2 linked regions of the Tribolium castaneum genome follow. The protein of the gene in region 1 purifies or fractionates together with the protein of each later gene. This does not show direct contact. Links are inferred from orthologs where the notes say so. Each region holds a gene or a part of one and is shown in the gene's direction. Other genes may lie near its edges. The genes, in order: Cortactin and Arp2.

The links.
Region 2: the proteins of Cortactin (region 1) and Arp2 purify together in Homo sapiens (affinity purification with mass spectrometry; 3 studies listed by BioGRID and IntAct, with this or other methods). This does not show direct contact. The link is inferred for Tribolium castaneum from reciprocal best matches to the Homo sapiens genes CTTN and ACTR2.

Annotation. Positions count from the first base shown.
Region 1 is NC_087400.1:1,541,280-1,558,427, reverse strand, and holds Cortactin (src substrate cortactin), read left to right. Parts: upstream 1-6,259; 5' UTR 6,260-6,430; coding exon 6,431-6,594; intron 6,595-6,643; coding exon 6,644-6,887; intron 6,888-9,823; coding exon of another isoform or gene 9,824-11,386; exon of another isoform or gene 11,387-11,434; intron 11,435-14,735; coding exon 14,736-14,901; intron 14,902-14,950; coding exon 14,951-15,231; intron 15,232-15,580; coding exon 15,581-16,105; intron 16,106-16,227; coding exon 16,228-16,308; 3' UTR 16,309-16,461; downstream 16,462-17,148. Other genes in the region: Ubox5 (U-box domain containing 5), read left to right, coding at 364-1,434; tRNA (guanine(37)-N1)-methyltransferase, read right to left, coding at 4,577-4,611, 4,657-5,914.
Region 2 is NC_087394.1:25,845,627-25,860,901, forward strand, and holds Arp2 (actin-related protein 2), read left to right. Parts: upstream 1-3,314; 5' UTR 3,315-3,634; coding exon 3,635-3,682; intron 3,683-3,737; coding exon 3,738-3,848; intron 3,849-3,924; coding exon of another isoform or gene 3,925-3,939; intron 3,940-5,780; coding exon 5,781-5,801; intron 5,802-5,875; coding exon 5,876-6,034; intron 6,035-6,088; coding exon 6,089-6,217; intron 6,218-6,896; coding exon 6,897-7,310; intron 7,311-7,363; coding exon 7,364-7,687; 3' UTR 7,688-7,777; downstream 7,778-15,275. Other genes in the region: uncharacterized protein LOC100142249, read right to left, coding at 2,306-2,320. UniProt on the Homo sapiens protein: ATP-binding component of the Arp2/3 complex, a multiprotein complex that mediates actin polymerization upon stimulation by nucleation-promoting factor (NPF).

The DNA of each region.
Region 1 (17,148 bases):
TTATTACTTACTTATTATTACTTTTACTTTTTTATTGAATTTTTTGGAATTTTCAAATTTGGGCTCAGTGGTGCCCCCAACGGTCTAAATTACAATTTTTTTTTGGATTATGAGATTTGATCAAATAAATAACTTTACCTGCAATTAATTAATTACTTTAAACATGTGTTGTTTTAAAATAAATAAATAAACTGATTTTATTTAACTGCCCCTACTGATCCTTAAATTATTTTTTAATCAAAAAAAAAAAATTTGAGCTAATGGGAGTTATCCCAAAAGCAACTTAACCCAACTTTCACAACCAAGTTAATTTAATTTACACAAATTTAAAGTCCACGGTGATATTTTCGCGCTTAGTTTAGTATGTACAACTTCCTGGACCCCAAACTGAGCCCCAAAGTGTCCAGCAGCGCCCCCGCCACCGACAATTACGAAGCCTCCAACCTAATCAGCGAAAACGGGGCTGTCCGAGCCCGCGGTTTCCTAGCTTACACTGTAACGCGCCCCCCTGTAGCCCTAGAATTCGAGTTTTTGTGCCCCATTAGTGTCTCGTTCATTGCACTTGAGACAAGTGTTGGGCGCCAAAAGTGTACAGGAATCGAACTTTTTGCAAAAAACTCCACTACTCCCTTTACTTCAATCGCCAGAGCGGTCTTTGACAAGTCGGGTTTAACCGTCTGTGATAGCAAAACTTATAATAAATCTAAACCGCCCCCTTGTCACACTCCCGATAAAGAACTGCGTTATTTTAAAAGTGATCAGAGGCGCCTTTGGGGCGACACCACCTGCCTCAAAGTTGTGATTTTTCGCACCGATCGCAGCGTGCCCTGCTTGGGGGCGATTAAGGTGTTCGGCGCCCCTTCGGGGAGTTGCTCCAAAGTGACTGTCGAGACAATTGGGAGGATTATGGGGGGTTCCCCGGAAGCGCCCCAAACGGGGGGAGGACAAGAGGGGTTAAAAATCCCCCAGGATTTTGTTGATGACTTAACTTGCGAAATTATGGCAATTCCCATGACTCTACCAAGTGGCAAAACTGTGGATAGAGACACGCTTGACAAACACATAGAGAGTGAAAAATCGTTCGGTCGTAAACCTTGCGATCCCTTCACAGGACTTAAATTCACCGAAACGCGCAAACCGGTGATCAATGTTGCGCTCAAAAGCAGAATTGATATGTTTTTGATGCAGAATTCGACAAATCCGGCGTTTTTTGGGCTAAAAAGGGCGCTAGGGGGGCAAAATTTGAGGGCCGATAATAAGAGGGCCAAGTACGGGGGGGAGAAAGAGTGTTGTAGTTGTCGGTGTTGCCAGTTTTTATACAAAATTCCCTGCCAGCATTATTATTGCAGGAATTGTCTGTTACAAGTTGTAAAATTAGAGTGTAATTCTTGTGGACTCGAATTTGTAAAAAGTGACGCTGTACGTTGTCATTAATAAATATTTTTATAAAAACGATTTTTTTTTATTTCCTGTTCAAAACTGTTGTTTGCACTTACACTTCACTGTTAAAAAATTCATAACTCGAAAACTAAAAGTCGTAGAGCAAAACGGTTTGTTCCAGTGAATTCTGCTGCTCAAATTGCTTAGAATACCAGCCTTTTCACAACACTAGCTTACTCGAGAAATTTTTTAAAAAATATTTTAATTTTAAAATTGGTGGATGCGCCGGGTTATTCATTAAAAAATTCATAACTCGAAAACTAAAAGTCGTAGAGCAATGCGGTTTGTTCTGTTGAATTCAGCGGCTCATTTTCTGTATTATACCAACATTTAACGAGATCTAAAGTTTTAAAATTTTTTGTTAAAAATTAAGACAGGTATTACCTATAGCGGAAAATTTTATTCAACAAAAAAAATCATAACTCGAAAACTAAAAGCCGTAGAAGAAAACGGTTTGTTCCAGTGAATTCTGCTGCTCAAATTGCTTAGAATACCAGCCTTTTCACAACACTAGCTTACTCGAGAAATTTTTTAAAAAATATTTTAATTTTAAAATTGGTGGATGCGCCGGGTTATTCATTAAAAAATTCATAACTCGAAAACTAAAAGTCGTAGAGCAATGCGGTTTGTTCTGTTGAATTCAGCGGCTCATTTTCTGTATTATACCAACATTTAACGAGATCTAAAGTTTTAAAATTTTTTGTTAAAAATTAAGACAGGTATTACCTATAGCGGAAAATTTTATTCAACAAAAAAAATCATAACTCGAAAACTAAAAGCCGTAGAAGAAAACGGTTTGTTCCAGTGAATTCTGCTGCTCAAATTGCTTAGAATACCAGCCTTTTCACAACACTAGCTTACTCGAGAAATTTTTTAAAAAATATTTTATTTTTAAAATTTTTGGATGCGCCGGGTTATTCATTAAAAAATTCATAACTCAAAAACTAAAAGTCGTAGAGCAAAACCGTTTGTTGCAGTGAATTCTGCTGGTCAAATTGCTTAGAATACTAGCCTTTTCACAACACTAGCTTACTCTAAAAATTTTTTAAAAAATATTTTAATTTTAAAATTGGTGGATGCGCCGGGTTATTCATTAAAAAATTCATAACTCGAAAACTAAAAGTCGTAGAGCAATGCGGTTTGTTCCATTGAATTCAGCGGCTCATTTTCTGTATTATACCAACATTTAACGAGATCTAAAGTTTTAAAATTTTTTGTTAAAAATTAAGACAGGTATTACCTATAGCGGAAAATTTTATTCAACAAAAAAAATCATAACTCGAAAACTAAAAGCCGTAAAAGAAAACGGTTTGTTCCAGTGAATTCTGCTGCTCAAATTGCTTAGAATACCAGCCTTTTCACAACACTAGCTTACTCGAGAAATTTTTTAAAAAATATTTTATTTTTAAAATTTTTGGATGCGCCGGGTTATTCATTAAAAAATTCATAACTCATAAACTAAAAGTCGTAGAGAAATGCGGTTTGTTCCACTGAATTCAGCAGCTCATTTTCTGTATTATACCAACATTTAACGAGATCTAGAGTTTTACAATTTTTTGCTAAAAATTAAGATAAGTATTTCTTATAGTGGAAAATTTTATTCAACAAAAAAATTCATAACTCGAAAACTAAGAGTCGTAGAACAAAACGGTTTGTTCCAGTGAATTCTGCTGCTCAAATTGCTTAGAATACCAGCCTTTTCACAACACTAGCTTACTCGAGAAATTTTTTAAAAAATATTTTAATTTTAAAATTGGTGGATGCGCCGGGTTATTCATTAAAAATTCGTAACTTAAAAACTAGAAGTCGAAGAGCAATGCGGTTTGTTCCATTGAATTCACCGGCTCATTTTGTGTATTATACCAACATTTAACAAGATCAAAGGTTTTTAAATTTTTTGTTAAAAATTAAGACAGGTATTTCTTATGGTGGAAAATTTTATTCAACAAAAAAATTCATAACTCGAAAACTAAAAATCGTAGAGCAATGCGGGTTATTCTATTGAATTCAGCAGCTCATTTTCTGTATTATACCAACATTTAACGAGATCTAAGGTTTTAAAATTTTTTGCTAAAAATTAAGATAGGTATTTCTTATAGTGGAAAATTTTATTCAACAAAAAAATTCATAACTCGAAAACTAAAAATCGTAGAGCAATGCGGGTTATTCTATTGAATTCAGCAGCTCATTTTCTGTATTATACCAACATTTAACGAGATCTAAGGTTTTAAAATTTTTTGTTAAAAATTAAGACAGGTGTTTCTTATGGTGGAAAATTTTATTCAACAAAAAAATTCATAACTAGAAAACTAAGAGTCGTAGAACAAAACGGTTTGTTCCAGTGAATTCTGCTGCTCAAATTGCTTAGAATACCAACCTTTTCACAACACTAGCTTACTCGAGAAATTTTTTAAAAAATATGTTAATTTTAAAATTGGTGGATGCGCCGGGTTATTCATGAAAAAATTCATAACTCAAAAACTAAAAGTCGTAGAGAAATGCGGTTTGTTCCATTGAATTCAGCGGCTCATTTTCTGTATTATAGCAACATTTAACGAGATCTAAAGTTTTATAATTTTTTGCAAAAAATTAAGATAAGTATTTCTTATAGTGGGAAATTTTATTCAACAAAAAAATTCATAATTCGAAAACTAAAAGTCGTAGAGCAATGCGGTTTGTTCCATTGAATTCAGCGGCTCATTTTCACATAGGTTTAAGCCAAAATAGTTCGAGATTTCCAAATAGTTTTGCCGCAATTAAAAAATAAAAAATAAAACACACTAACGTAATAAACGATTTATTTTATGATCTACAACTGCATGGCATTCAATTGCTTCAAAGTGTCTTGCGACTTTTCACCAACCTCCTTCGTCACATTCTGACGTGACGGTAATTTGGTTTTATTTTTAGTTTCTTTCTTCTGGTCACCGGTCGAATTTCGGACTTTTTCCTGCAAGTTGACGAGTTCCTTATCAATTTCCGTTATCTTGGCCTTATTTTTATTATTAATCTGGAAACAACCCTCTTTCTATTTCCTCACAAAAATAATTTTTCACCCACCTGTTTGAGCTCACTTTTGACAGCTTTCGCCTTGGCCTTGAGCTTCAAGCTTTTGGCCCCGGCGACCTTGAACACACTATTGAGCTTCTTCTTGTTTTTCCCCATCACAGACTAGAAAAAACAATTAATAAAAAATCATTCAATTGTTTGTATTACGTTTTTTGGATTCAACGCCAACGCAGGAATTTTTTCGTTTCCGTACGTAATTTTTGACCAAAATTTCGCGGTCTAACTTGAACGTGATCCTCATCATTTCTTTGAGCGAGCTGACGGTGCGCACACGAAACACATCGGTAATTTTTTCTTCAACATTCCGACCGATTTTTTCACAAAGTGATTTTTTGGCAATGTTTATGAAATCCTCGCCTTTGGCAAAGCAATAAACTACGACAACTGGGTGTTTCCCAAATTCTGGTAACTCATCATTTGAGAATAAATCAACAAAAGTTGTTAAAAAATCAACGGCCAGTGCCGGAAGATTCATCAGAATAAAAACATTTTTGGCCGAAAATTTCGGCAACAACTCCTTAACCTCGCCCAAGATAAACTCCCGCCCGTCCTTATTATAACTCTTAAAGTAATTTTCCCCAACTTTGTTTATTTTAAAGTTGTGATTTAGCCATTTAAAGGACTCGGGATTGAGATCATTGGCAAAAACCTGGCACTTTTTCCTAGCCAAAGGCACGGAAAACGGCCCAACCCCCGCGAAAACATCAAACACAACATCACCACTCTCTATCATATTGACAATTCTTTCGTGTTCAGTGCAGAGTCTAGAATTCCAGTACACTTTCGCAAAATCAAACTCAAACACACATTTATTTTCCCTAACGTGCGTTTGCGTGTCGTTTTCGCCCCTTAAAACCTCCATCTGGAAATTCCGATACGTGTTATCAATACTCCCCACTTTATTGACCACAGTCCGACAATTGGGCACTTTATCAAACAACACTTGCCCAATTATGTCTTTAAACGGAACGAGGTGTTCGCGCAGGTTAACGTGCACAATGTGCCCCACTTTAGTAAAACTCGACATCCCCTCGACATTCGGGGGAAGCACGGCGCGAAAAACGCCCTCAATCGAAAAATTCTCGTAGTTTAAAGTCAACGGCTTTAATTCGAGTTGCACGCACAGGTCGTTTAGCAATTTTTGCGTTTCTGGCGGCAAGTCACTAAAAGCCCCTATTATTTCCGGGTTGAAGTAAACGTGGGATTCCCCCGTGGTTACGTTACAAACCGGCTTAAAATTCTCAATTTTTAACAAGTAATTTTTCACGAATGGCAAGACTGATGAGATTTTCACGTTCTTAAGGATGAGACACGGGACGGTTATGTTTTTCTTGAACAAATTCTTGTCCAAAGTTGTTAACCCAGCTACTTGAGCTGGTGGTTTGAGGTTAGGGACAGTTGTCATGCTTTTGGAGCCACGAAAGTCGATTAAAGTGGATTTAACGAAGGGATTGTGGCCCTAATTACGCGAAAGTAGCACCAGTTGTGGGAATCGCAGGCGTTTAGAGGGGACGGTTTTGTGGAACATTTAAATCAAACGCACGTTTTTGGAGGTTACTTACGTTTTGACAAGTGGAGTAGGTCAATTGACCCGATTTTTTAACCAACCGTTTGAATTATTATCATTGAAAAAAAGCAAATTGTTGTGTACTGTTACAAACAACCGAATGATACATTTTTTAGGGAAATGAAGTGGTTCCAGTGCCTATATAATTATTGATTAATTGATAAAATTAGTTTGGTAGTTTGAAAGTGTCGTAAATTTCGGTTAAACGTCCCGAAGTTGTCTGTGTCACTGGGGGCCGGGTGTTGCCTTTGTTGATAACAGTTATCACAAAATTGCCACAATTCTAATTACTTAGTTTTTTCGTTCCGTTTGTGTTGCCTAATTGGTGTTTTTTTTGAAAACTTAACCTAAAAAATGTGGAAAGCGGCGGCAGGTCAGCAAATTAATTTAAACGACCAGCCCACCGAGGATGACGAGTGGGAGACAGACCCGGATTTCGTCAATGACGTGAATGAGCAGGAGCAGCGATGGGGCTCTGCCACCATTGCGGGGTCTGGGAGGACAGCTGGGGCTATAGAGTAATGGGGTTTTTGGTTTTGGTTCGCTTGTCTCATGTGTTTGCCTTAGTATGAGTCAGTTGAGGAAGGAGACGGAGGAGGCGGACGCGCTGAAGAAGAAGAAACAGTTGGAGGAAGGGGCCAGTAATCCCGCTTTTGGGTACGGGGGCAAGTTCGGGATTGAGAAAGACAGGATGGATCAGTCGGCCGTGGGGCATGAGTATGTCGCGAAAGTCGAGAAACATGCCTCACAGAAGGACTACAGTGCGGGCTTTGGGGGCAAGTTCGGGATACAGGCCGATAGGGTAGATAAGGTTAGTCTGATTGGTTTTTATTTGTCAAGTTTAGTCACAAATGTACAAGTAGCAATATTTTTTTGCTTTTCACACGCTGATAAGGACAATCGTGCTCTTATCTCAAATTACGAAAACAATCTTACGCTGAATTATGATCATGATCACAGTTTAATTATTCAATTAATTCAATTATTGAATTATTTGTTTACAATTGTTTCGTATTTATTTTGTCGCGTTATTATTATTATTAGTTATTTAAAATTTTAAGAAAAATGCTATAAGGTCAAGCATTGTTATCGAGAACGAGCATTTAAACAACTAGATTTTTTACAAATAAATAAATAAATAAATATAAAGAAAATGCAACGTTTTGAAACAGCTTGTAGTAATGATTGCGAAATTTAAGGCCAGCCTACGGATATCTAAAACTAAGGATGAAACGACGTACAAATAAAAAGTCCCGTCCTCTATAGTTCCGTTAATGTCGCCAGAGGCGCACTTGTTCCATTACCGTCTGTTTTCAGAGCAATCAATTTATAAAAATTGTTGTAATTAAATAACGGTTAGCACAAGTTGAATAAAAAAAATACAGGCAGATAGAGCATCAAATTCTCAATAATCGGAGATGAAAATAGTGCAAAAATTATATCTTAAACTATATTTAAAAAAATTTCAAAGTTTTACCAATTTGCACTCTGCCCCATATTTTTCAAAACGCTGCGAATACGGTTACAGATACAAGAAAAATGTTCAGAGGAAAGTTGTAGAGAATTAAATTTCCTTTAAAAAAGTCCGCGAGACCATATCCTTATCTTCAACCATTTAGGCCCCAAAGTCATTCAAAGACGCTCAAGTGTCGGATTTCCTCCATTTTGCCGGTGGTCAAGTATTGGAAAATTAATTTATACCTAAACCGTTGAAGATAGACATATCGTGTCGCGGACTTTTTTGTAGAGAATTTAATTCTCTACAACCTCGCCTCTTTCACTTTTTTGTATCTTCAACCGTATTCGCTGCGTTTGCCAAAAAAAACGCAATAATTCTAAGCGATAATTTTTTGGGCACCGTCGCCTATTTATTAAAACGCTGCGAATACGGTTGAAGATACAACAAAAGTGTAAGGAACAAAGTTGTAGAGAATTAAATTTGCTACAAAAAAGTCCGTGACACCATATTTCTATCTTCACCGGTTTGGGTATAAATTCACTTTTCCATACTTGACCACCAGCAAAATCAGTCGCTTAAGCATCTTTGAACGTTTTTAGGGCCTAAACCGTTGAAGATAAAGATATGGTCTCGCTGACTTTTTTTCAGGAAATTTAATTCTCTACAAATTTGTTCTAAACATTTTTCTTGTATCTTTAACCGTATTCGCAGCGTTTTGAAAAATACGGAAAGTCACAAAAAAAGGTAAAAACACCCGGTATCCAGATAAAATCTGGTGAAAAATTTGAAAATTAAATTGAAAAAAAGTGGAAGAAAATGTTTTCTCAAAGCTAATTCGCCGACTTTTGAACTGAATGTATTTGCGTTTTACGTGAATTATTGCAATTATATAGTTTGTAATGTTGATTTATTTAAAAAGTTTGTGTTAAAATATCTACAAAACACGGTCAGTACCTGGGGCCCGGTGGCCCAGTGGTATAAGCGCCACTTACGACGGTGGAGGTCGCGGGTTCGAACCCGGATCACGGCAACAATTTTTCTATGAAAAAAAAGTGTAGAAAAGGTAAGGAAACAAAACGTGAGCAAAAATAAGAGATTGAGAGAACACATGGACGTATAAACGTAAAGCGGAGCAAAAAACTGACAGAAATAAGAAAATAATGCGGCAAAAGGCATGACGTACAGCACGGTGATTTGAAAATGTCATGCCAATAAACCCCGGCTGAGGGATCGGTAGGTACTTAGACCGCAACCATCTGTGGCAATAAATCATTTCGTCGTGAACTTCCAAACACGAAATAATTTTACTTTTCAACTGCTTAAAATTTGATTTGACTTTATAATGATTTTAGTAATTGAAGTCACCGCTATTTTTAATTCCAATTTCAATTGCCATTTAATTCGCATTGTGAAACAAAATTAATTTTGAATTTTAAATTTGATTGCCTCTAAAGGCATATTTGAGAATAGTGCAAATAAATTATAAATTAATTAATTACAATCAAACATCTGATTAACTGATCACGTTATCAAATTGAAGCCATCTGATTCATTTTTTAGTCGCGAATTAACTTAACAATGAATTAAAATTTAATTCAGGATAAAGCTCATTCGAATTAAGTTGCCATTTTTTGTATTGATAAACGTCAAGTTAACCTTGAATTAAACCTGCTCATATCAGGTCTTTTAAACGTTCAGTAAACCGGCCCTTAAAGTCACCACTAATTATTTTTGTTCCACTTAATAATTGTCATTTAAATCGCTTTGTGAAACAAAATTAATCTCGAATTTAAATTTGATTGCCACTAAAGGCATATTGAAAATAGTGCATAAAAAAGGATTATTCCTTTTGACGTGTCATTTAATGAATATTAATAACAAAAATTTTATTTGGTTCTGTCAAAAAACAATTTAAAAAAATTCCAGAGCTAAATTTGTATAGAAAAAAAATCTAAACAAATCAAGAATAAATATTTATTTATACAAAGTTTAATATTTGGTATAATAGCCATTATTATCTATGCATTCCTGCATTCTTCTTCTCATACTGCCAACCAAGTTCTGAAAAATATCTGTTCTTCTCAATCGATTCCATACATTCAGAAAGGCGTAAAGGCGTCTTATTGTAAACGTACTTTTTGTTTTGGGAGAAAAAGAGATGAACGTATAACTTCAAACTCTGAGTTGAATCCTTACATAATTTTTGAACGAAAATATTTTAAAAAAATTTCAAAAATCTAGTCGCCCCGCCTGTCACTTAGACACTCCCCTGTCACCGTCAAAACTAACCTCAAACCTCTAAAAATCAATTTTCAAAAATTTCGGGCCCACACAAGCCATACCGAGATGACTCGGAACAATACAGCCTCAAAAAAATAGACACAAAAGTCTGGGACGCCTCAAAACCCGGCCGATTATGGAACGGTCCCGGCACCTACGAAATACCCGTCGAACTCTACGCCGAAAACCGCAAACGCCTAATCGAGCAAATCCACGCCAAAGATCCCGGCAAGCCCGTGATCCTCCTGCAGGGCGGCGACGAAATCCCCTTCTACGACACGGACATCACCTACTCCGTCTTCCGGCAGGAATCCAACTTCTTGTGGACGTTCGGAGTCACCGAACCCGGCTGTTTCGGCGCCATCGACATCGCCACCAAGAAAACCTTCCTGTTCGTTCCCCGCTTCCCCACGTCCTATCTCATCTGGCGCGGGCCTCTGCCCTCTCTGGAGGACATCAGCAGGAAGTACCAAATCCCCAACGTGCATCATAAGGACAACATCGCCTCCATCCTCCGGAATCTAAACCCCAGTGTCTTGCTCACCCTCAAGGGGGTTAACAGCGACAGCAACCTGCTGTCCCGGGAGGCGCACTTCGAGGGAATCGACAAGTTCCGGGTGAACAACACGGTCTTGTACAACGAAATCGCCAACTTGCGCGTGTACAAGACCGACTTCGAGCTCGATGTCATGCGCTACGTGAGCGACATCTCCTCGGAGGCGCACCGGAAGGTGATGCGCTTCGCCAAGCCCGGCAAGACGGAGTACCAATGCGAGGCGGAGTTCCTGCACTATTGCTACGCCACGGGGGGCTGCCGGCACACCTCCTACACGTGCATCTGCGCCTCGGGGGCCAACGGGGCCATCCTGCACTACGGGCACGCCGCCGCCCCCAACAACAAGATGATCGAGCCCGGGGACTTGTGCCTCTTCGACATGGGGGCCAACTACTTCGGCTACTGCGCGGACATCACGTGCACGTTCCCGGCCAATGGCAAGTTCTCCCCGAGCCAGAAACTCATCTACGAGGCGGTGCTTCTGACCAATACGACCGTTTTCAAGTCGCTGAAGCCGGGGGTTTCCTGGCTGGAGATGCACACGCTGGCGCACCGCGTCCTGCTGGGGGAGCTGAAGAAGGGGGGGCTGCTGAAGGGGGACGTGGAGGCGATGGTGGCGGCGGGGCTGGGGGGCGTGTTCCAGCCGCACGGGCTGGGGCACCTGCTGGGGCTGGATGTGCACGACGTCGGGGGGTTCATTGGGGCGAAGCGGTCGGATTTGAAGGGGGCGGCGATGTTGAGGACGACGAGGGAGCTGAAGGAGAGGATGGTGATCACGGTGGAACCGGGGTGTTATTTTATCGATGTTTTGCTGGATGAGGCGTTGGAGAGTGCGGCACTGTCTAGGTTTCTGGTGGCGGATGTTATTAAGCGGTTTCGGGGATTTGGAGGGGTTAGGATTGAGGATAATGTTCTGATTACGAAAAATGGGGCTGTTAGTTTGACCAAAGTGCCGAGGAGTGTGAAGGAGGTGGAGGATTGGATTGCCGGGAAAGATAGCAAGACGTATCATTAAATTTCTTGTATTTACGTATTTTAATAAAAAATTTAATTCAAAAAAATACTACGGTAGACTAAAATTTATTTTATGTAATTTATAATTACGGCTAAACTATTCAAAAAAGTGGAACTACTTTTATCCATACCTATGTAAAATGATCCGGGGAAACGATTGGCATCAAGAAAATTGCCAAATTCTCAATAGTTTTTTAGTTATAAATTTTTTTAAATTTTACCAAATTTTGCATTTGTCTCCAATTTGCTCGAAAACTATTAGTCGGAGAACAATATTTTTTTTTGAAAACAATAGATAATTTAAAGAGCTTTCCAACGATAATACTATTATCTCTAATAGTTCCGGAGCTATTGCTCGAGAAATGTTCCGGGTACCCAAAATCGACAAAAACTGCGACGAAAATTGAAAAAATCAAACGTCAAAAAATCAAACATTTGGACTTTTTGTGGACTTTTAACAACTTTTGTGGGTTGTTAAGACACGTAGAAGTCCATAAAAATTTATTGGAGTGAGTTTAAAAAAATTTTTTTTTTACTTTTTTAAGGTAAGTATTTCAGGAAATTTGAGCATTTAAATCTCGTTGAAAGTTGGTATATTACAGAAAATGAGCCGCTGAATTCAATGGAACAAACCGCATTGCTCTAGGACTTTTAGTTTTCGAGTTATGAATTTTTTTATTGAATAAAATTTTCCAATATAGAAATTGCCTATCTTTTTTAATTTTTTGCAAAAAAATTCAAAGTGTCAGATCTCGTTGAAAGTTAGTTTAATATAGAAAATGAGCTGCTGAATTTAATGGAACAAACCGCATTGCTTTACGACTTTTAGTTTTCGAGTTATGAATTTTTTTGTTGAATAAAATTTTCCACCATAAGAAATACCTGTCTTAATTTTTAACAAAAAATTTAAAAACTTTTGATCTTGTTAAATGTTAGTATAATACGGAAAATGAGCCGCTGAATTCAATGGAACAAACCGCATTGCTCTTCGACTTCTAGTTTTTAAGTTACGAATTTTTTAATGAATAACCCGGCGCATCCACCAATTTTAAAATTAAAATGTTTTTTAAAAAATTTCTCGAGTAAGCTAGTGTTATGAAAAGGCTGGTATTCTAAGCAATTTGAGCAGCAGAATTCACTGGAACAAACCGCATTGTTCTACGACTCTTAGTTTTCGAGTTATGAATTTTTTTGTTGAATAAAATTTTCCACCATAAGAAATACCTGTCTTAATTTGTAACAAAAAATTTAAAAACTTTTGATATCGTTAAATGTTGGTATTATACAGGAAATGAGCCGCTGAATTCAATGGAACAAACCGCATTGCTCTTCGACTTCTAGTTTTTAAGTTACGAATTTTTAATGAATAACCCGGCGCATCCACCAATTTTAAAATTAAAATATTTTTAAAAAATTTCTCGAGTAAGCTAGTGTTGTGAAAAGGCTGGTATTCTAAGCAATTTGAGCAGCAGAATTCACTGGAACAAACCGTTTTGTTCTACGGCTTTTAGTTTTCGAGTTATGAATTTTTTTGTTGAATAAAATTTTCCACCATAAAAAATACCTGTCTTAATTTGTAACAAAAAATTTAAAAACTTTTGATATCGTTAAATGTTGGTATTATACAGAAAATGAGCCGCTGAATTCAATGGAACAAACCGCATTGCTCTTCGACTTCTAGTTTTTAAGTTACGAATTTTTAATGAATAACCCGGCGCATCCACCAATTTTAAAATTAAAATATTTTTAAAAAATTTCTCGAGTAAGCTAGTGTTGTGAAAAGGCTGGTATTCTAAGCAATTTGAGCAGCAGAATTCACTGGAACAAACCGTTTTCTTCTACGACTCTTAGTTTTCGAGTTATGATTTTTTTTGTTGAATAAAATTTTCCGCTATAGGTAATACCTGTCTTAATTTTTAACAAAAAATTTAAAAACTTTTAATCTCGTTAAATGTTGGTATAATACAGAAAATGAGACGCTGAATTCAATGGAACAAACCGCATTGCTCTACTACTTTTAATTTTCGAGTTATGAATTTTTAATGAATAACCCGGCGCATCCACCAATTTTAAAATTAAAATATTTTTTAAAAATTTCTCGAGTAAGCTAGTGTTGTGAAAAGGCTGGTATTCTAAGCAATTTGAGCAGCAGAATTCACTGGAACAAACCGTTTTCTTCTACGACTCTTAGTTTTTGAGTTATGATTTTTTTTGTTGAATAAAATTTTCCGCTATAGGTAATACCTGTCTTAATTTTTAACAAAAAATTTAAAAACTTTTGATCTCGTTAAATGTTGGTATGATACAGAAAATGAGCCGCTGAATTCAATGGAACAAACCGCATTGCTCTTCGACTTCTAGTTTTTAAGTTACGAATTTTTTAATGAATAACCCGGCGCATCCACAATTTTAAAATTAAAATATTTTTTAAAAAATTTCTCGAGTGAGCTAGTGTTGTGAAAAGGCTGGTATTCTAAGCAATTTGAGCAGCAGAATTCACTGGAACAAACCGTTTTCTTCTACGACTTTTAGTTTTCGAGTTATGATTTTTTTTGTTGAATAAAATTTTCCGCTATAGGTAATACCTGTCTTAATTTTTAACAAAAAATTTAAAAACTTTTGATCTCGTTAAATGTTGGTATAATACAGAAAATGATCGGCTGAATTCAATGGAACAAACCGCATTGCTCTACGACTTTTAATTTTCGAATTATGAATTTTTTAATGAATAACCCGGCGCATCCACCAATTTTAAAATTAAAATATTTTTTAAAAATTTCTCGAGTAAGCTAGTGTTGTGAAAAGGCTGGTATTCTAAGCAATTTGAGCAGCAGAATTCACTGGAACAAACCGTTTTGTTCTACGACTTTTAGTTTTCGAGTTATGAATTTTTTTGTTGAATAAAATTTTCTACTATAAGAAATACCTATCTTAATTTTTAGCAAAAAATTTTAAAACTTTAGATCTTGTTGAAAGTTGGTAAAATACAGAAAATGAGCCGCTGAATTCAATGGAACAAACCGCATTTCTCTACGACTTTCAGTTTTTGAGTTATGAATTTTTTAAAAGAATAACCCGGCGCATCCACCAATTTGAAATTTAAAATATATTTTTTTAAATTTCTCGAGTAAGCTGGTGTTGTGATAAGGCTGTTATTCTAAGCAATTTGAGCAGCAGAATTCACTGGAACAAATTGTTTTGTTCTACGGCTTTTAGTTTTTGAGTTATGAATTTTTAAATTTTTTTTTCTTGTAAAAAATTAATATAACATGTAAAATAGTAGCAAATTTTATTTTATCACCTAGCAGTTACAATATTTTACTTAGAAAATTAGATTTTTTTTATTTTAGAGTGCCGTTAGTTGGGAGCACAAGGAAAAAATCGAGAAACACGCCTCCCAGAAAGACTACGTCACCGGTTTCGGCGGCAAATTCGGCGTCCAAACGGACCGCCAAGACAAGTCGGCCGTTGGCTGGGATCACATCGAAAAAATCGAAAAACACGAATCGCAGAAAGGTTTCTTATCGTAATTTTCGCAACAATATTCACACTTTAGTCACTCCAGATTACGTCAAAGGCTTTGGCGGGAAATTCGGCGTCCAGTCGGACCGCCAAGACAAGTCGGCCGTGGGCTGGGACCACCACGAAGCCCCCCAGAAGCACGAAAGCCAAACCGACCACAAAATCGGCTTCGGCGGAAAATTCGGACTCCAAACCGATCGCGTGGACAAATCCGCTGCCAATTTCAACGACGAACCGGCGAAAGTCGGCACGAATTACACCAAAGTCAAGCCGGACATTGGCGACGCGAAGCCGAAGGACTTGAGGGCCAAATTTGAAAATATGGTAGTTTTTTCAACCATACAGGGTGCCCCAACCTAAACTTCCATCTTCCGCAGCTCAGTTATTAGTAAAGTTGGGCTTATGAAATTTTCTAGACGTTATCTATACGCGCCGAAGTATTTCGGGAAAATATTTTTGATTATACAGAGTGTTCCAAAAAAGTTTGCCTTTGAAAAAAATTTTTTTGGGACACTCTGTATAATCAAAAATATTTTCCCGAAATACTTCGGCGCGTATAGATAACGTCTAGAAAATTTCATAAGCCCAACTTTACTAATAACCGAGTTACGGAAGATGGAAGTTGAGGTGCGCCACCCTGTATATTATTTTTGACGTGTTATTTTTTGTCCAGAGTTCGCAGGAGAAGCAAGAAGTTGAGAAAATCTCAACTCCTAAGAAAACGGTTCATGCCAGAGCCGCCATGTTTAATAACAAAATGGAGGAAACTGCACAAAGTACGCCTACACCAGAAAGAGTGCCTAAAGTGTTGGACTCGTCGAAAACGGCGTTTTTGACGCAGACGAGTCAAGCGGAGACACCAAGTGGCGAAGTGCGAGTTCCGAAGAGTTTGGATGAGTCGAAGAAGGCGTTTTTGGCGCAGGAAACACGGGAGGAAGTTAGAGTTGTTCCGGGACAGTTGGATCAGAGCAAGCTGGCTCAGTTTAGTAGCGAAAATCATGAGGTGAATGAAGAACAGGAAGAAATTTACGAAAATGTCACTAGTCAAGTTACGAATGAACAACAAGAGGAGGTTTATTACACGACTGATGAAATTGTGGATACGGGGATTTCCGCAGTGGCGCTGTATGATTATCAAGCGGCGGCTGATGATGAGATTTCCTTCGATCCGGATGATATTATTACCCACATTGAGAAGGTTTGTTTTTTATTTTTTTTCTGTAGCAAATTTGTTCAATTTTTTTTTTATTTTTCGTAAAGTCCTGTTGTAGAAAAAATGTTGTATTGTGTGATAAATGAGTATTAATTTTTTGTTTTTAGATTGACGAGGGTTGGTGGAGAGGTTTGTGCAAAGGCAAATATGGATTATTTCCTGCAAATTACGTTCAAGCCAATGAGTGATAACACTGATAACTTGAGTTGCTATAAAGGCCTATAAAGTACTTAATGGGTTACTTGCCCTTATTTTATTTTTTTTACTGTTTTATTCAAATGACTATCATATATGTATATGCTTCCATTCACAAAGTTTTATAATAAAGTATTTTAAACTGATATGAGTTGTTTGATTTCTGAGATAAATAGATAGTTTAAAGAGCTTTCCGACGATAATACACTTCATTGGGTTATTTTTGATTTTTGATAGTTCGGATTTCTAAGGGTGTTAACTTTTTTTAATTTTTTTTATTATCTCATTTACGGCTAAACTATTCGAAAAAGTGGAACTATTTTGATCCATGCCAATGCAAAATGATCCGGGGAATCGATTGGCATCAAGAAAATTGCCAAATTCCCAATAGTTTTTTAGTTATGAATTTTTTAAAATTTTACCAAATTTTGCGTTTGTCTCCAATTTGCTCGAAAACTATTAGTCGGAGGACAATAATTTTTTTTGAAAACAATAGATAATTTAAAGAGCTTTCCAACGATAATACACTTCATGGGGTTATCTCTAATAGTTCCGGAGCTATTGCTCGAGAAATGTTCCGGGTACCCAAAATCGACAAAAATTGCGACGAAAATTGAAAAATCAAACTTTTAAAAATCGAACATATGGACTTTTTGTGGACTAAAAACAACTTTTGTGGGTTGTTAAGACATGTAGAAGTTCATAAAAATTTACTGGAGTGAGTTTAAAAAAAAAAATTTTTTTCACCTCTTTGAAGGTAAGTGTTTCCACTCAGGGAAATTTTAAGCAAAAAAATTCAAAATTTTAAATTTCATGAAAAGTTGGTATAATAC
Region 2 (15,275 bases), on another chromosome or scaffold:
ACCTAAAAAACAACATCGACATCAGTAAATATCCAAAGTTGTGTGCATTTCTCAAGAATAAATCCAGTGGGTATAAGCCTAAAAAGTCAAGAATTTTGACACCAGAACAAATCAAAGAATTTTTGTGTTCAGCACCAGATGAAAACTACTTATTTTCAAAGGTAAATTAGGTACTTACCTAAATACTTTGTTATAAATTTTATTTTAGGTGGGGTTAATCTTTGGAATAATGGGAGCTTGTCGCCGTGAGGAATTAATGAAAGTAGAAACAAATCATGTTGAAGATCTTAGTACAGCATTATTAGTTCATATTCCTGACACAAAAACCAAAACAGAACGTCAGTTTATTATCGGAGGATTTTTATGGAATTTGCAAAAAATATATGGAACTTCGTCCGCAAGATGTACATACTACACGATTTTTTCTAAATTATCAACGAGGAAAATGCACAAGACAGCCGGTCGGTATAAATAAGTTCGGTAGTCTTCCTTGTCAAGTTGCAACATTCCTCAAACTACCAAATCCAACTTCTTATACAGGCCATTGCCTTCGCCGATCCTCTGCTACTTTATTAGTAGATGCGGGGGCTGACATTACTGCCCTCAAACGCCATGGGGGATGGCGTTCAACAACAGTTGCAGAAACTTATATTGATCATTCGTTAAATAATAAAATTCAAACGGCCAATAAAATATCAAACATTATTCAGTCTGAAAGTTCAAACATTACTCAGTACAATTGTAACAATATAAGTAGTTTAACAGTTACTCTTCATAATAAATAATGTAAATTATAAACTGTATAAAGTACCTAATAATAAATTTCTAAATGTTGTTACTTTGTAAAAAAATATTTAATGTATATTTTGTCTCACCTTACGGGAGTAGAAAAAATAGCATAAGCAACGCGTTTTCTAAACTCGTCTAAACACTCGTTATAAACACTCGCTTCGCTCGTGTTTAAACAAACTCGTGATTAAAATCTCGTTTATAAAACTTGTTGCTTAATATACTATTAACACACCTTGTATTGTGAATATTTTGTCATTTAACTTTCTCAGCCAGACACTAAATTATTTCTAGGAAACTAAGCTGAAAACGAGGTTATTTAAAACATCCATTTTGCAAGATTTTGAAAAATACACCTAAAAATTAGAAAAATTATTCGAAACTGATAATATTTTTGGAAACATGTAAATTTCGTACGTGGTTAAGGAAAAGTACTGACCTTAGCTAGGTACTACTAGTGAAGGCATTTTATCACTTTCCCAAAAGAATACACCCTCATTAAATTAAGAAAATATTTTGCCTATTTCACCCAATTTAACTGGTTTGTGATCAAAATCGTCACAAGAATTTAAAGAAAAAACAGAATTTGGTCGGAAATGACGTACTTTTTTAAGAGTTAATAGAGTTTTTAAACTACAATTTCAGAATGTTTCTCAAATCAAATCAATAATTACATAATTTTTACGTTTTTTGAGCTTTTTTCTTTTTGGAACTGTACTGTTGCACAAATACAAATACATACAAATACATACAAATGTACCGCTTCAGGCTTATTACTAATTACTGAGAGATGTATTACTCTTTGAACCTTTGAACAATCATTTAAAATTTTTCCTGCTTTCGAAAGTAACCAGTTGCCAATACAATTTGTCACTTTGGCAGTGCATACGTCAGCTGACAGCTCCATGAACAATAAGTCAACAACAATAATAAGGAAAATGATTAGTAATTTACAGCACTTTATTGACCTTGAAAATTCTTGGCACTTTATCAAAGTGAAAAAGCCGTTATCAGTGTCAAACACATAAGATGACAGTGCTACTGCTTATAGCAAAATCCAGTACCTTATTTGTACCCAAAATAAAATAAAAAATATCATTTATAGCGCTTTACTTATGGCATTTCCAAAACAGAGACAAATCAAAGCAGAAGCTTTTTTTGATTTGTAGAAACACTGTTCGCTTTGTAAAATCTGTACAGAAAAATGTATAATAAATAAATGTATGACAAATGCGTAAAACTTGTTTGATATCAGTTAGAGATCGAGGAAATGTAAGCAAAGGTGTGTAGGATCAGTTTAAATTGTACTGAATTGTACTGAATTTCCGGTTGACAACTTTTCGTTTCAAAAATACTGACACTGACAAGGAAGATAGGTAGATATTCTTTCAAACAATTATTATTTGTCCACTCGTAATGAATCACAGCCACCAAAAAGCAACATAAATGGGAAGGTAAATAGAAATTGATAGGAGATAACGTACCAAAAAACCTACAAAAAAATGCACACTCTTACCTCATCCAACTCCATTGCGGTAACTATTCTTGTAACTGGCACAGGATTAATTGTTTAAATGCAAAAACTAACAAAATAGCACAAATTATTCAAAATAAACATGAACCGACTTGTTTGCAAATTTGACACCAACATGTGCCAAAGTGTCACGTGACCGACTACACCATTGTAAAGTGCGAGCTACCGAGTGTGCACAAGAACAAAATGCTTTTTTTAAATCCAATACTCAGCTGTTTATTAACAAATTTAACAAAATCTAACACAACTATTACGCTAAGTTACATCTATGCAAACGTTAACGTAATAATACTGATAATAAATATTGCCGAGTTATCGTTCATTTTTTCCTCAAACTGACCGCGTTCCAAATTATCAGTTATTTTAATTGCATTGTATATTATTATTTTATTCATTACGTGATTGTTTTTATGCGTATGGAGACAAGTGGCAAAATTGTACATATTATTATTGCATAACTCTATTTTTTAGCATTGGAGTGCGTTCCAGGTCATTAAGTTAAAATTCAGTGCATTTTGTAATTTATTACATCTGTAACATATTTGTGCTCTGTGCATATGCATTGTCTAATTTTTTGCATTTTTTGTTTTGTGTCGGCACTTTTCGCTTTCGCTGTAAGGTAGGGGCGTCATTTTTTTATTGTGACTGTGTTACAAATGTGATAATTTTTGAGGAATGGAATTTTTTGAAATTCTTTCTAATTTTTGAGTTATGTAAAATTTTATTTAGTCTCGGCTACGGAGGACTGTCATTAGGAAACAAAACAAGACACAAAACAGCAGGATTTTCTGAACCCAGAAAATAGTACAGTGGAGTAAAAACGAGAGCACTTTGAGTGTTATAATGTCTTGGCACCAAACTGTTTTAAATTAATTTAAATCCAACTTTTAGATGTGGGTTCGATCAAAGGATTTAAATCTTCCGCCATTATGCCAAATGGCACCGTTGATGGCGCCACAAAAGCGACCACCACTAACAACTAACAAGGATAGATTAAATTGTCAATTCTGACTATCTCTCTTGCTCTTATTGTATGGGGGTGCATGTCACAAGCACCGGTACAAAAACGGGTGGTTTGTCAAATTTTTTAATTGCATTAATCAAAATTAAATAAACAGACACAATTTAAACAAACAGCAAATCATTCATCTTTTTTTCACTTGTGACAATTTGTGATATGTGTTCGATTTATATCTATGGGCGTGGACAGATTTCCTGGAGTGACTGTTCTAGTGTAATTATCCCAAAATAGGGCTTAAAGACTCCTCTTCTCCTACCAATTAACAATTAAGTTCATTTAATCGCATCACCATGGATAGTCAAGGCAAAAAAGTCATTGTTTGTGACAATGGAACTGGGGTAAGTTTTGCTCTTTTTCCACAATTTTTTTGTTAAAACTGACTGCTGGTTACAGTTTGTCAAGTGTGGATACGCAGGGAGCAATTTCCCGGCCCATATTTTCCCTTCAATGGTCGGCAGGCCCATCATACGGGCTGTAAATAAAATCGGAGATATTGAGGTTAAGGTAAGGATGATTCAAATCACAGTTAACATTTTTCGTTTATTTCATCAGGTGAAATGATCAAACTTTGTTATCCTAGGATTACCATGTAGATGTAAGTGCCTCAAAGAGGTGTGTGTTTTGACTAACCCTCGTTTGAGTGGTTGCACCTCACAAGAGGTCACTAACAGTGTTTCTCTTTGTTGTTTTCTTGATTTTTCTGTGTTTTTGAGTTTATTTATTACGTTGTTACTAAATTCGTGAAATGATTGACGGGCTTTTTTGTCAAGCTGGCTTTGGAAACGTTTATTAAAAAAATTACCAGGCGGCTGAAATACAGTGGCATCGAGTTATAGCGAACTTCCCAACTATTTAATTTTGACTTAAAATGTGAATTTATAATGAATTTTGAGGAATATTTAATGACAAAGCAATAAGAGAAGTGTTGACTCATGAACAAATTATTGAATTACTAACTAAAAAACATTTTAACTAACAAAAACGTGTGTTTTTAAACATAATTACAGTCTGAATTTGATAGTTGTGCAAATATTTTATGATAGTAGAGCTCAAAGGAAGTCAAATAAATTAACTTGCTTTATCCCAACTTATACTACTTTTACTAGTTTTTGGGATAAAAGGGTGCAACCTCCTCTTCAGCGTCTAAAAATTCGTCAAAAAAACGCAATATCAACAAAGTTTACGTCTTTTGAGCACTTTTTTTCTAAGTTTACATGACTAATAGGGGGTGACATTTGAGGAAATTAAATTTAGTAGTATCTGCGCCAAAAAAATCGGTGCAAAATTTTTATATTTTAACATTTTTATATTTTTTTATGGAATGACTTGTTTTTCTGTGGCTGTTTTTGCTAATTTTAATTTAGTGTAATAGATGTTGAAGAAGTAGGTTTAGAGGCTAAATTGATTTAGGTATTTGTTGGTTTTAAATTTATTCGCCGACCAAAACTATATCTCACAAATTATGAATATTCGGATAATGCAAGTTGATTTATTTTCACTTCTTTTGAGCTTTACTATCATCCTTTACAATAACTGCACCAATATAAAATTTACGCAGTACACATACGGGGTGTCCCAGCAAAAAGAGCACCTTCTTGTAACTTTTTTATTTATTAATCAATTTGAACAAAATTTAAATTACACATGTTTGGACCAAAGGTCCACATTTTAAAGTAACCAATTATTTGAGGAGTTTACTATTTGTGAGATAAAAAAATAAAAATCATGAAAAAAGATGCAAAATTCTTAAATTCCATATTATTCGAATAAGCTATGTTACATTGCCGTGTTGGCAAACTTTGTTTTAACAAACGAAATCCAGATTTCCTTAAATTCTTTTTTAAAATCACAAAAAAATGAAAATTTTGAATGAAATATCATCGTCCATGGGGCGGTGTTGTGAGAAAGAGTTAATGTTTTTTTTACAATTTATACTTACTTATTTCGTCTTATTTCATATGCAAAATAAAAAACTGATAAAAACATTTTTTTATTTTACTGCTTATAGCGAACTTCGGGTATAACGAACTGATTTTGTTGCATTTTCGTTATTATAACCGGACTACAATGTATATAATTTTTTTACTGTTTCGCAAAGCATTTATGTTTTTTTTTGCAGTAAATATTTATTTATTTTGGCTTATTTCATATGTAAAGTACAAATAACTGTTAAAAAGACACATTTTTCGAGTTCGTTATAATGGGACACCACTGTATTGCTGTTTATAAGATTTACGGCTTAAATGTAAACAACAGGGTGCAAAGCTGGTTTAAAAGCGTTGATTACGTATCTTTATTTTTATTACTTTGTATAAATATTTGCATTCTGTGCCAGTCGTGAAAACTCAAAATCACCAGATTTTCAAACTAGCTTGTTGATCATTATTTCGATTAAACTCGAATTTTTGACTTAATGCTACCTTTTGCACGCTTCAGGGAGTTGCAAGTACTCTTCCTGTAAGTAAATTTGAAGCCCTTTGATGTGTAAATGTGTTTTTTTTTTACAATTTTTATTATAACTTCAATTTTAGGACTTGATGGTTGGAGATGAAGCTTCCGCTTTGCGATCGCTTCTCGAGGTGAATTACCCGATGGAAAATGGGGTTGTGCGCAACTGGGAGGATATGTGCCACGTGTGGGACTACACTTTTGGCCCCCGAAAAATGAATTTGGACCCAACTGATGCTAAAGTAACATCAAAAAATCATAAAAATTGACTATAAATTTTTAAATTTGTATTTTAGATTCTCCTGACTGAACCCCCAATGAACCCCACGAAAAATCGGGAAAAAATGATCGAAGTCATGTTCGAAAAGTACGGTTTTGCGGGGGCTTATATTGCTGTCCAAGCCGTACTCACTTTATACGCTCAGGTTCGTTTACACAGTTGGTGGTCCAAAAATAATAATAATTACCAGAAAAGAATTATTGGTTATTATTATTGAACTTTTTCTAGTTCAAATCATTCTAGACAAAACAATTTCGTGAGAAGTTAAAAAAAACGGCTTATATTACCCGAAATGTGTTCTTATTGTTGTTATTATTATTACTATTGTTATTATAGACACTTAAAAACGAGATAACTTTTTAAAAAGTGGCTGTAAACGTCTTATTCTGACCAGAAACATCGACTTACAGATGATTCTTTGCTTATAAGCAAGAGAATTCTCATAGAACAAACAAAAAAAGTCTTATTCCATCTCAATTCCATCAATTTTTTGCTTAGAAACATGAAAATTTTTTTGAGAAGAGCCCAAAAACTGCTAACATCCGAAATGTTTTTCATTATTATTACTATTATCATTGTTAATAATAAATTATTAATTAATTTATTAAATTAAATTTAATAATAAATATTAGTTAAGAGCCAATTATAACTTTCGGGTAGCGAACGGTTTATCCACTAGTTTGGGAGAAAATGGTTATTTCTAATGTGGGATTTAGATGGAACAACCCTATAGAGTACTGAATTCCAAGGGACGTTATTTAAATCATTTAAAAATACTTCATAATTAAAATTATTTTTAATAAAATATGAATGTTTGATTCTAGGGACTTCTGTCGGGTGTTGTTGTCGATTCTGGTGACGGAGTGACACACATTTGCCCCGTTTATGAAGAGTTTGCTTTGCCGCATTTAACCCGACGTCTGGATATAGCAGGCCGTGATATCACCCGCTATCTTATTAAATTATTACTACTGAGAGGTTACGCATTTAATCATTCGGCTGATTTTGAAACCGTGCGAATTATGAAGGAAAAATTATGTTACATTGGTTACGATATAGAAACAGAACAGCGGTTGGCTCTGGAAACTACTGTTTTGGTTGAGCCTTATATTTTGCCAGATGGCCGTGTGATCAAAGTTGGCGGGGAACGGTTTGAGGCCCCTGAAGCATTATTTCAACCGCATTTAATCAACGTTGAGGGACAAGGCATCGCTGAGCTTGTTTTTAATACAATACAGGTTGCATGGTTTGTTTTTTCTACAGCTTGGTTTAATATTGCTTTGTTGTTTAGGCGGCTGATATTGACATGAGGCCCGAATTGTACAAACATATAGTACTCTCAGGTGGTTCCACTATGTATCCAGGGCTCCCTTCACGACTTGAACGTGAAATAAAGCAATTGTATCTAGAACGCGTACTTAAAAATGACATAGAGAAATTAAATAAGTTTAAAATACGAATTGAGGATCCGCCGAGACGTAAAGACATGGTTTTTATCGGTGGAGCAGTTTTAGCCGAAGTTATGAAGGATCGGGATGCGTTTTGGATGTCGAAGCAAGAGTATGAGGAGCAAGGCTTGAAGGTTTTGAAAAAACTGGGGCCGAGGTCGGCGTAAGCAATTTTAAATAATATACGTGTTTTTATTTTCATATTTAATTCATTCAGTGTATATTTAAAGGCAAGTTGAATAAATCATTTTTAAACAGTTGTTTTGTTTCCACTGGGAAACCAAATCTTATCGTTCCTCACCGGCAACGTAATAAGTTACGTTGATAGTAACATGAAATTTGAATAGTAATAGAACAATACGCTTTTTTTGTCGTTTATGTTAGAAATTGATGTTAGAAAATCATGCCTCCGAACAAATAAAACCTCCGAATAGAAGTTTTTGACCCAAAAAATTTACTGCTGCACTTTGCTAGTAGGCTGTGTTTATAGGGGTGACGTTTTTTATGATTGTGACCAGGCATCCCGAACTGATATAGCCAAATCGAGCCCTCACTGAATTAGGTTTTACTGATGATGCGGATAGATGGCCTTAGTGTTTTACGGGAAAAAGAAATCCTATTGGCGGATTTAAAATTTCAGATTATTGAAGAAAAACGTGGTGCCGATGCGCGGCTGACAAGTAAAAATTTCACAAACGTCACAAATTTCACAAACGTCACAAATTTCACAAATTTGAGTTTTATGAAATTATTAGTTTGTGAAATAAATAAATACGACACAGCAATAAAATACACCTACCTTCATATCGCTTCCACGTTGGCTACCGTTTGTAGCATTAAAAAAAATAATAATAAAAATGAAACCAAAAAAAATGTTTATTTGCATTAAATTTTGAGCAAGCCACTTTCATTCATTGAAATTAAAGGTAAAATTGCGTGTCAATAAATTATTTAAGTGTTTTATTTTATTTATAGTTACTGTATTTAAAATGTGTCACTCAAAATATCACTTTTCAACACCGCATTTAAAGATTTTAATTGCAATTAAGTTTTATGAAATTATTGGTTTGTGAAATAAATAAATACGACACAGAGATATAAAATACACCCATCTTCATATCGCTTCCACGTTGGCTACCGTTTGTAGCATTAAAAAAAATTAAAAACAACACCAATAAAAAATCTTTATTTGCATGAAAATTACAACAAGCGACATAATTTTACGGCTGTAAAAAACAATCAACAATGTTATATTTAAGGATTGTTCTAATTGGTCAAATTAGTCAATAACTAATTTGTCCGGCAAAAACCACGTGGAAGTTTAGAGCATTCTTGCCAAGAAAAATGGATATAAGGATGTGGTAAACAATGATTATTTCAAATGAAGGGAATAAAGGAATTATTGGTTTGTGAAATGAAAAAATAGTACACAAAAATCAAAGCTTTTTCACTTGGCGTTAAATAAATGCTCTTACCTTTATACTGCATCTGCTACCATTTGTAGCAAAACCTAAAAAATAAATTAAAAACACAACCAACAAAAAAATTAATTTGTAGGAAAGTTACAACAAGCGACTTTAATAAATATTATACAGAATAAAGAATACACAATACGGTATAATATATGGCACACAAGCTATTAAATCAACACATGACAAGATAAAACGCAAAAAAATGCACCTACCTTCATATGGCTTCTGCGTTGGCTACTGTTTGTAGCAAGACATTTAAAAAATTAAAACAACACCAATAAAAATCTTTATTTGCATGAAAGTTACAACAAGCAACGTTTGTCAATATTAAACAAAATAAAAAATACACAATACGTTTCAATTTGTGGCAATTAAAATTCAAATCAAATTCAATACCTCAGTAAATAAATGCACTTACCTTCATATCGCTTCCACGTTGGCTACCGTTTGTAGCATTAAAAAAAAATAATAATATAAATGAAATAAAAAAAAAAATGTTTATTTGCATTAAATTTTGAGCAAGCCACTTTCATTCATTGAAATTAAAGGCAAAATTACGTGGCAATAAATTATTTTAGTGTTTTATTTTATTTATAGTTACTGTATTTAAAATGTGTCACTCAAAATATCACTTTTCAATACCGCATTTAAAGATTTTAATTGCAATTAAGTTTTATGAAATTATTGTTTTTTTGAAATAAATAAATACGACACAGCAATAAAATACACCTACCTTCATATCGCTTCCACGTTGGCTACCGTTTGTAGCATTAAAAAAAAATAATAATAAAAATGAAACCAAAAAAAAATGTTTATTTGCATTAAATTTTGAGCAAGCCACTTTCATTCATTGAAATTAAAGGCAAAACTACGTGGCAATAAATTATTTGAGTTTTTATTTTATCTATAGTTACTGTATTTAAAATGTGTCACTCAAAATATCACTTTTCAATACCGCATTTAAAGATTTTAATTGCAATTAAGTTTTATGAAATTATTGGTTTGTGAAATAAATAAATACGACACAGCAAAAAAATACACCTACCTTCATATCGCTTCCACGTTGGCTACCGTTTGTAGCATTAAAAAAAATAATAAAAATGAAACCAAAAAAAAAATAATAATAAAAATGAAACCAAAAAAAATGTTTATTTGCATTAAATTTTGAGCAAGCCACTTTCATTCATTGAAATTAAAGGCAAAATTACGTGGTAATAAATTATTTGAGTGTTTTATTTTATTTGTAGTTACTGTATTTAAAATGTGTCACTCAAAATATCACTTTTCAATACCGCATTTAAAGATTTTAATTGCAATTAAGTTTTATGAAATTATTGGTTTTTTGAAATAAATAAATACGACACAGCAATAAAATACACCTACCTTCATATCGCTTCCACGTTGGCTACCGTTTGTAGCATTAAAAAAAATAATAATAAAAATGAAACCAAAAAAAAAATAATAATAAAAATGAAACCAAAAAAAATGTTTATTTGCATTAAATTTTGAGCAAGCCACTTTCATTCATTGAAATTAAAGGCAAAATTACGTGGTAATAAATTATTTGAGTGTTTTATTTTATTTGTAGTTACTGTATTTAAAATGTGTCACTCAAAATATCACTTTTCAATACCGCATTTAAAGATTTTAATTGCAATTAAGTTTTATGAAATTATTGGTTTGTGAAATAAATAAATACGACACAGCAATAAAATACACCTACCTTCATATCGCTTCCACGTTGGCTACCGTTTCCACGTAGCATTAAAAAAAATAATAATAATAAAAATGAAATAAAAAAAAAATGTTTATTTGCATTAAATTTTGAGCAAGCCACTTTCATTCATTGAAATTAAAGGCAAAATTACGTGGCAATAAATTATTTTAGTGATTTATTTTACTTATAGTTACTGTATTTAAAATTTGTCACTCAAAATATCACTTTTCAATACCGCATTTAAAGATTTTAATTGCAATTAAGTTTTATGAAATTATTGGTTTGTGAAATAAATAAATACGACACTGCAATAAAATACACCTACCTTCATATCGCTTCCACGTTGGCTACCGTTTGTAGCATTAAAAAAAATTAAAAACAACACCAATAAAAAATCTTTATTTGCATGAAAATTACAACAAGCGACATAATTTTACGGCTGTAAAAAACAGTCAACAATGTTATATTTAAGGATTGCTCTAATTGGTCAAATTAGTCAATAACTAATTTGTCCGGCAAGAACCACGTGGAGGTTTAGAGCATTCTTGCCAGGAAAAATGGATATAAGGATGAGGTAAACAATGATTATTTCAAATGAAGGGAATAAAGGAATTATTGGTTTGTGAAATGAAAAAATAGTAAACAAAAATCAAAGCTTTTTCACTTGGCGTTAAATAAATGCTCTTACCTTTATACTGCATCTGCTACCATTTGTAGCAAAACCTAAAAAATAAATTAAAAACACAACAAACAAAAAAATTAATTTGTAGGAAAGTTACAACAAGCGACTTTAATAAATATTATACAGAATAAAGAATACACAATACGGTATAATATATGGCACACAAGCTATTAAATCAACACATCACAAGATAAAACGCAAAAAAATGCACCTACCTTCATATGGCTTCTGCGTTGGCTACTGTTTGTAGCAAGACATTTAAAAAATTAAAACAACACCAATAAAAATCTTTATTTGCATGAAAGTTACAACAAGCAACGTTTGTCAATATTAAACAAAATAAAAAATACACAATACGTTTCAATTTGTGGCAATTAAAATTCAAATCAAATTCAATACCTCAGTAAATAAATGCACTTACCTTCATATCGCTTCCAAGTTGGCTACCGTTTGTAGCATTAAAAAAAATAATAACAACGAAACCAAAAAAAAAATAATAATAAAAATGAAACCAAAAAAAATGTTTATTTGCATTAAATTTTGAGCAAGCCACTTTCATTCATTTTAGTTAAAGGCAAAATTTCGTGGCAATAAATTATTTGAGTGGTTTATTTTATTTATAGTTACTGTATTTAAAATGTGTCACTCAAAATATCACTTTTCAATACCGCATTTAAAGATTTTAATTGCAATTAAGTTTTATGAAATTATTGGTTTGTGAAATAAATAAATACGACACGGCAATAAAATACACCTACCTTCATATCGCTTCCACGTTGGCTACCGTTTGTAGCATTAAAAAAAATAATAATAACAATGAAACCAAAAAAAATGTTTATTTGCATTAAATTTTGAGAAGCCCCTTTCATTCATTGAAATTAAAGGCAAAATTTCGTGGCAATAAATTATTTGAGTGGTTTATTTTATTTATAGTTACTGTATTTAAAATGTGTCACTCAAAATATCACTTTTCAATACCGCATTTAAAGATTTTAATTGCAATTAAGTTTTATGAAATTATTGGTTTGTGAAATAAATAAATACGACACAGCAATAAAATACACCTACCTTCATATCGCTTCCACGTTGGCTACCGTTTGTAGCATAAAAAAAATAATAATAAAAATGAAACCAAAAAAAAATAATAATAAAAATGAAACCAAAAAAAATGTTTATTTGCATTAAATTTTGAGCAAGCCACTTTCATTCATTGAAATTAAAGGCAAAATTTCGTGGCAATAAATTATTTGAGTGGTTTATTTTATTTATAGTTACTGTATTTAAAATGTGTCACTCAAAATATCACTTTTCAATACCGCATTTAAAGATTTTAATTGCAATTAAGTTTTATGAAATTATTGGTTTGTGAAATAAATAAATACGACACAGCAAAAAAATACACCTACCTTCATATCGCTTCCACGTTGGCTACCGTTTGTAGCATTAAAAAAAATAATAAAAATGAAACCAAAAAAAAATAATAATAAAAATGAAACCAAAGAAATGTTTATTTGCATTAAATTTTGAGCAAGCCACTTTCATTCATTGAAATTAAAGGCAAAATTACGTGGCAATAAATTATTTTAGTGTTTTATTTTATTTATAGTTACTGTATTTAAAATGTGTCACTCAAAATATCACTTTTCAATACCGCATTTAAAGATTTTAATTGCAATTAAGTTTTATGAAATTATTGGTTTGTGAAATAAATAAATACGACACAGCAATAAAATACACCTACCTTCATATCGCTTCCATGTTGGCTACCGTTTGTAGCATTAAAAAAAATAATAATAAAAATGAAACCAAAAAAAAATAATAATAAAAATGAAACCAAAAAAAATGTTTATTTGCATTAAATTTTGAGCAAGCCACTTTCATTCATTGAAATTAAAGGCAAAATTACGTGGTAATAAATTATTTGAGTGTTTTATTTTATTTGTAGTTACTGTATTTAAAATGTGTCACTCAAAATATCACTTTTCAATACCGCATTTAAAGATTTTAATTGCAATTAAGTTTTATGAAGTTATTGGTTTTTTGAAATAAATAAATACGACACAGCAATAAAATACACCTACCTTCATATCGCTTCCACGTTGGCTACCGTTTGTAGCATTAAAAAAAATAATAATAAAAATGAAACCAAAAAAAATGTTTATTTGCATTAAATTTTGAGCAAGCTACTTTCATTCATTGAAATTAAAGGCAAAATTACGTGGCAATAAATTATTTTAGTGTTTTATTTTATTTATAGTTACTGTATTTAAAATGTGTCACTCAAAATATCACTTTTCAATACCGCATTTAAAGATTTTAATTGCAATTAAGTTTTATGAAATTATTGGTTTGTGAAATAAATAAATACGACACAGCAAAAAAATACACCTACCTTCATATCGCTTCCACGTTGGCTACCGTTTGTAGCATTAAAAAAAATAATAAAAATGAAACCAAAAAAAAATAATAATAAAAATGAAACCAAAAAAAATGTTTATTTGCATTAAATTTTGAGCAAGCCACTTTCATTCATTGAAATTAAAGGCAAAATTTCGTGGCAATAAATTATTTGAGTGGTTTATTTTATTTATAGTTACTGTATTTAAAATGTGTCACTCAAAATATCACTTTTCAATACCGCATTTAAAGATTTTAATTGCAATTAAGTTTTATGAAATTATTGGTTTGTGAAATAAATAAATACGACACAGCAATAAAATACACCTACCTTCATATCGCTTCCACGTTGGCTACCGTTTGTAGCATTAAAAAAAATAATAATAAAAATGAAACCAAAAAAAATGTTTATTTGCATTAAATTTTGAGCAAGCTACTTTCATTCATTGAAATTAAAGGCAAAATTACGTGGCAATAAATTATTTTAGTGTTTTATTTTATTTATAGTTACTGTATTTAAAATGTGTCACTCAAAATATCACTTTTCAATACCGCATTTAAAGATTTTAATTGCAATTAAGTTTTATGAAATTATTGGTTTGTGAAATAAATAAATACGACACAGCAAAAAAATACACCTACCTTCATATCGCTTCCACGTTGGCTACCGTTTGTAGCATTAAAAAAAATAATAAAAATGAAACCAAAAAAAAATAATAATAAAAATGAAACCAAAAAAAATGTTTATTTGCATTAAATTTTGAGCAAGCCACTTTCATTCATTGAAATTAAAGGCAAAATTTCGTGGCAATAAATTATTTGAGTGGTTTATTTTATTTATAGTTACTGTATTTAAAATGTGTCACTCAAAATATCACTTTTCAATACCGCATTTAAAGATTTTAATTGCAATTAAGTTTTATGAAATTATTGGTTTGTGAAATAAATAAATACGACACAGCAATAAAATACACCTACCTTCATATCGCTTCCACGTTGGCTACCGTTTGTAGCATTAAAAAAAATAATAAAAATGAAACCAAAAAAAAAATAATAATAAAAATGAAACCAAAAAAAATGTTTATTTGCATTAAATTTTGAGCAAGCCACTTTCATTCATTGAAATTAAAGGCAAAATTTCGTGGCAATAAATTATTTTAGTGTTTTATTTTATTTGTAGTTACTGTATTTAAAATGTGTCACTCAAAATATCACTTTTCAATACCGCATTTAAAGATTTTAATTGCAATTAAGTTTTATGAAATTATTGGTTTGTGAAATAAATAAATACGACACAGCAAAAAAATACACCTACCTTCATATCGCTTCCACGTTGGCTACCGTTTGTAGCATTAAAAAAAATAATAATAAAAATGAAACCAAAAAAAATGTTTATTTGCATTAAATTTTGAGCAAGCCACTTTCATTCATTGAAATTAAAGGCAAAATTTCGTGGCAATAAATTATTTGAGTGGTTTATTTTATTT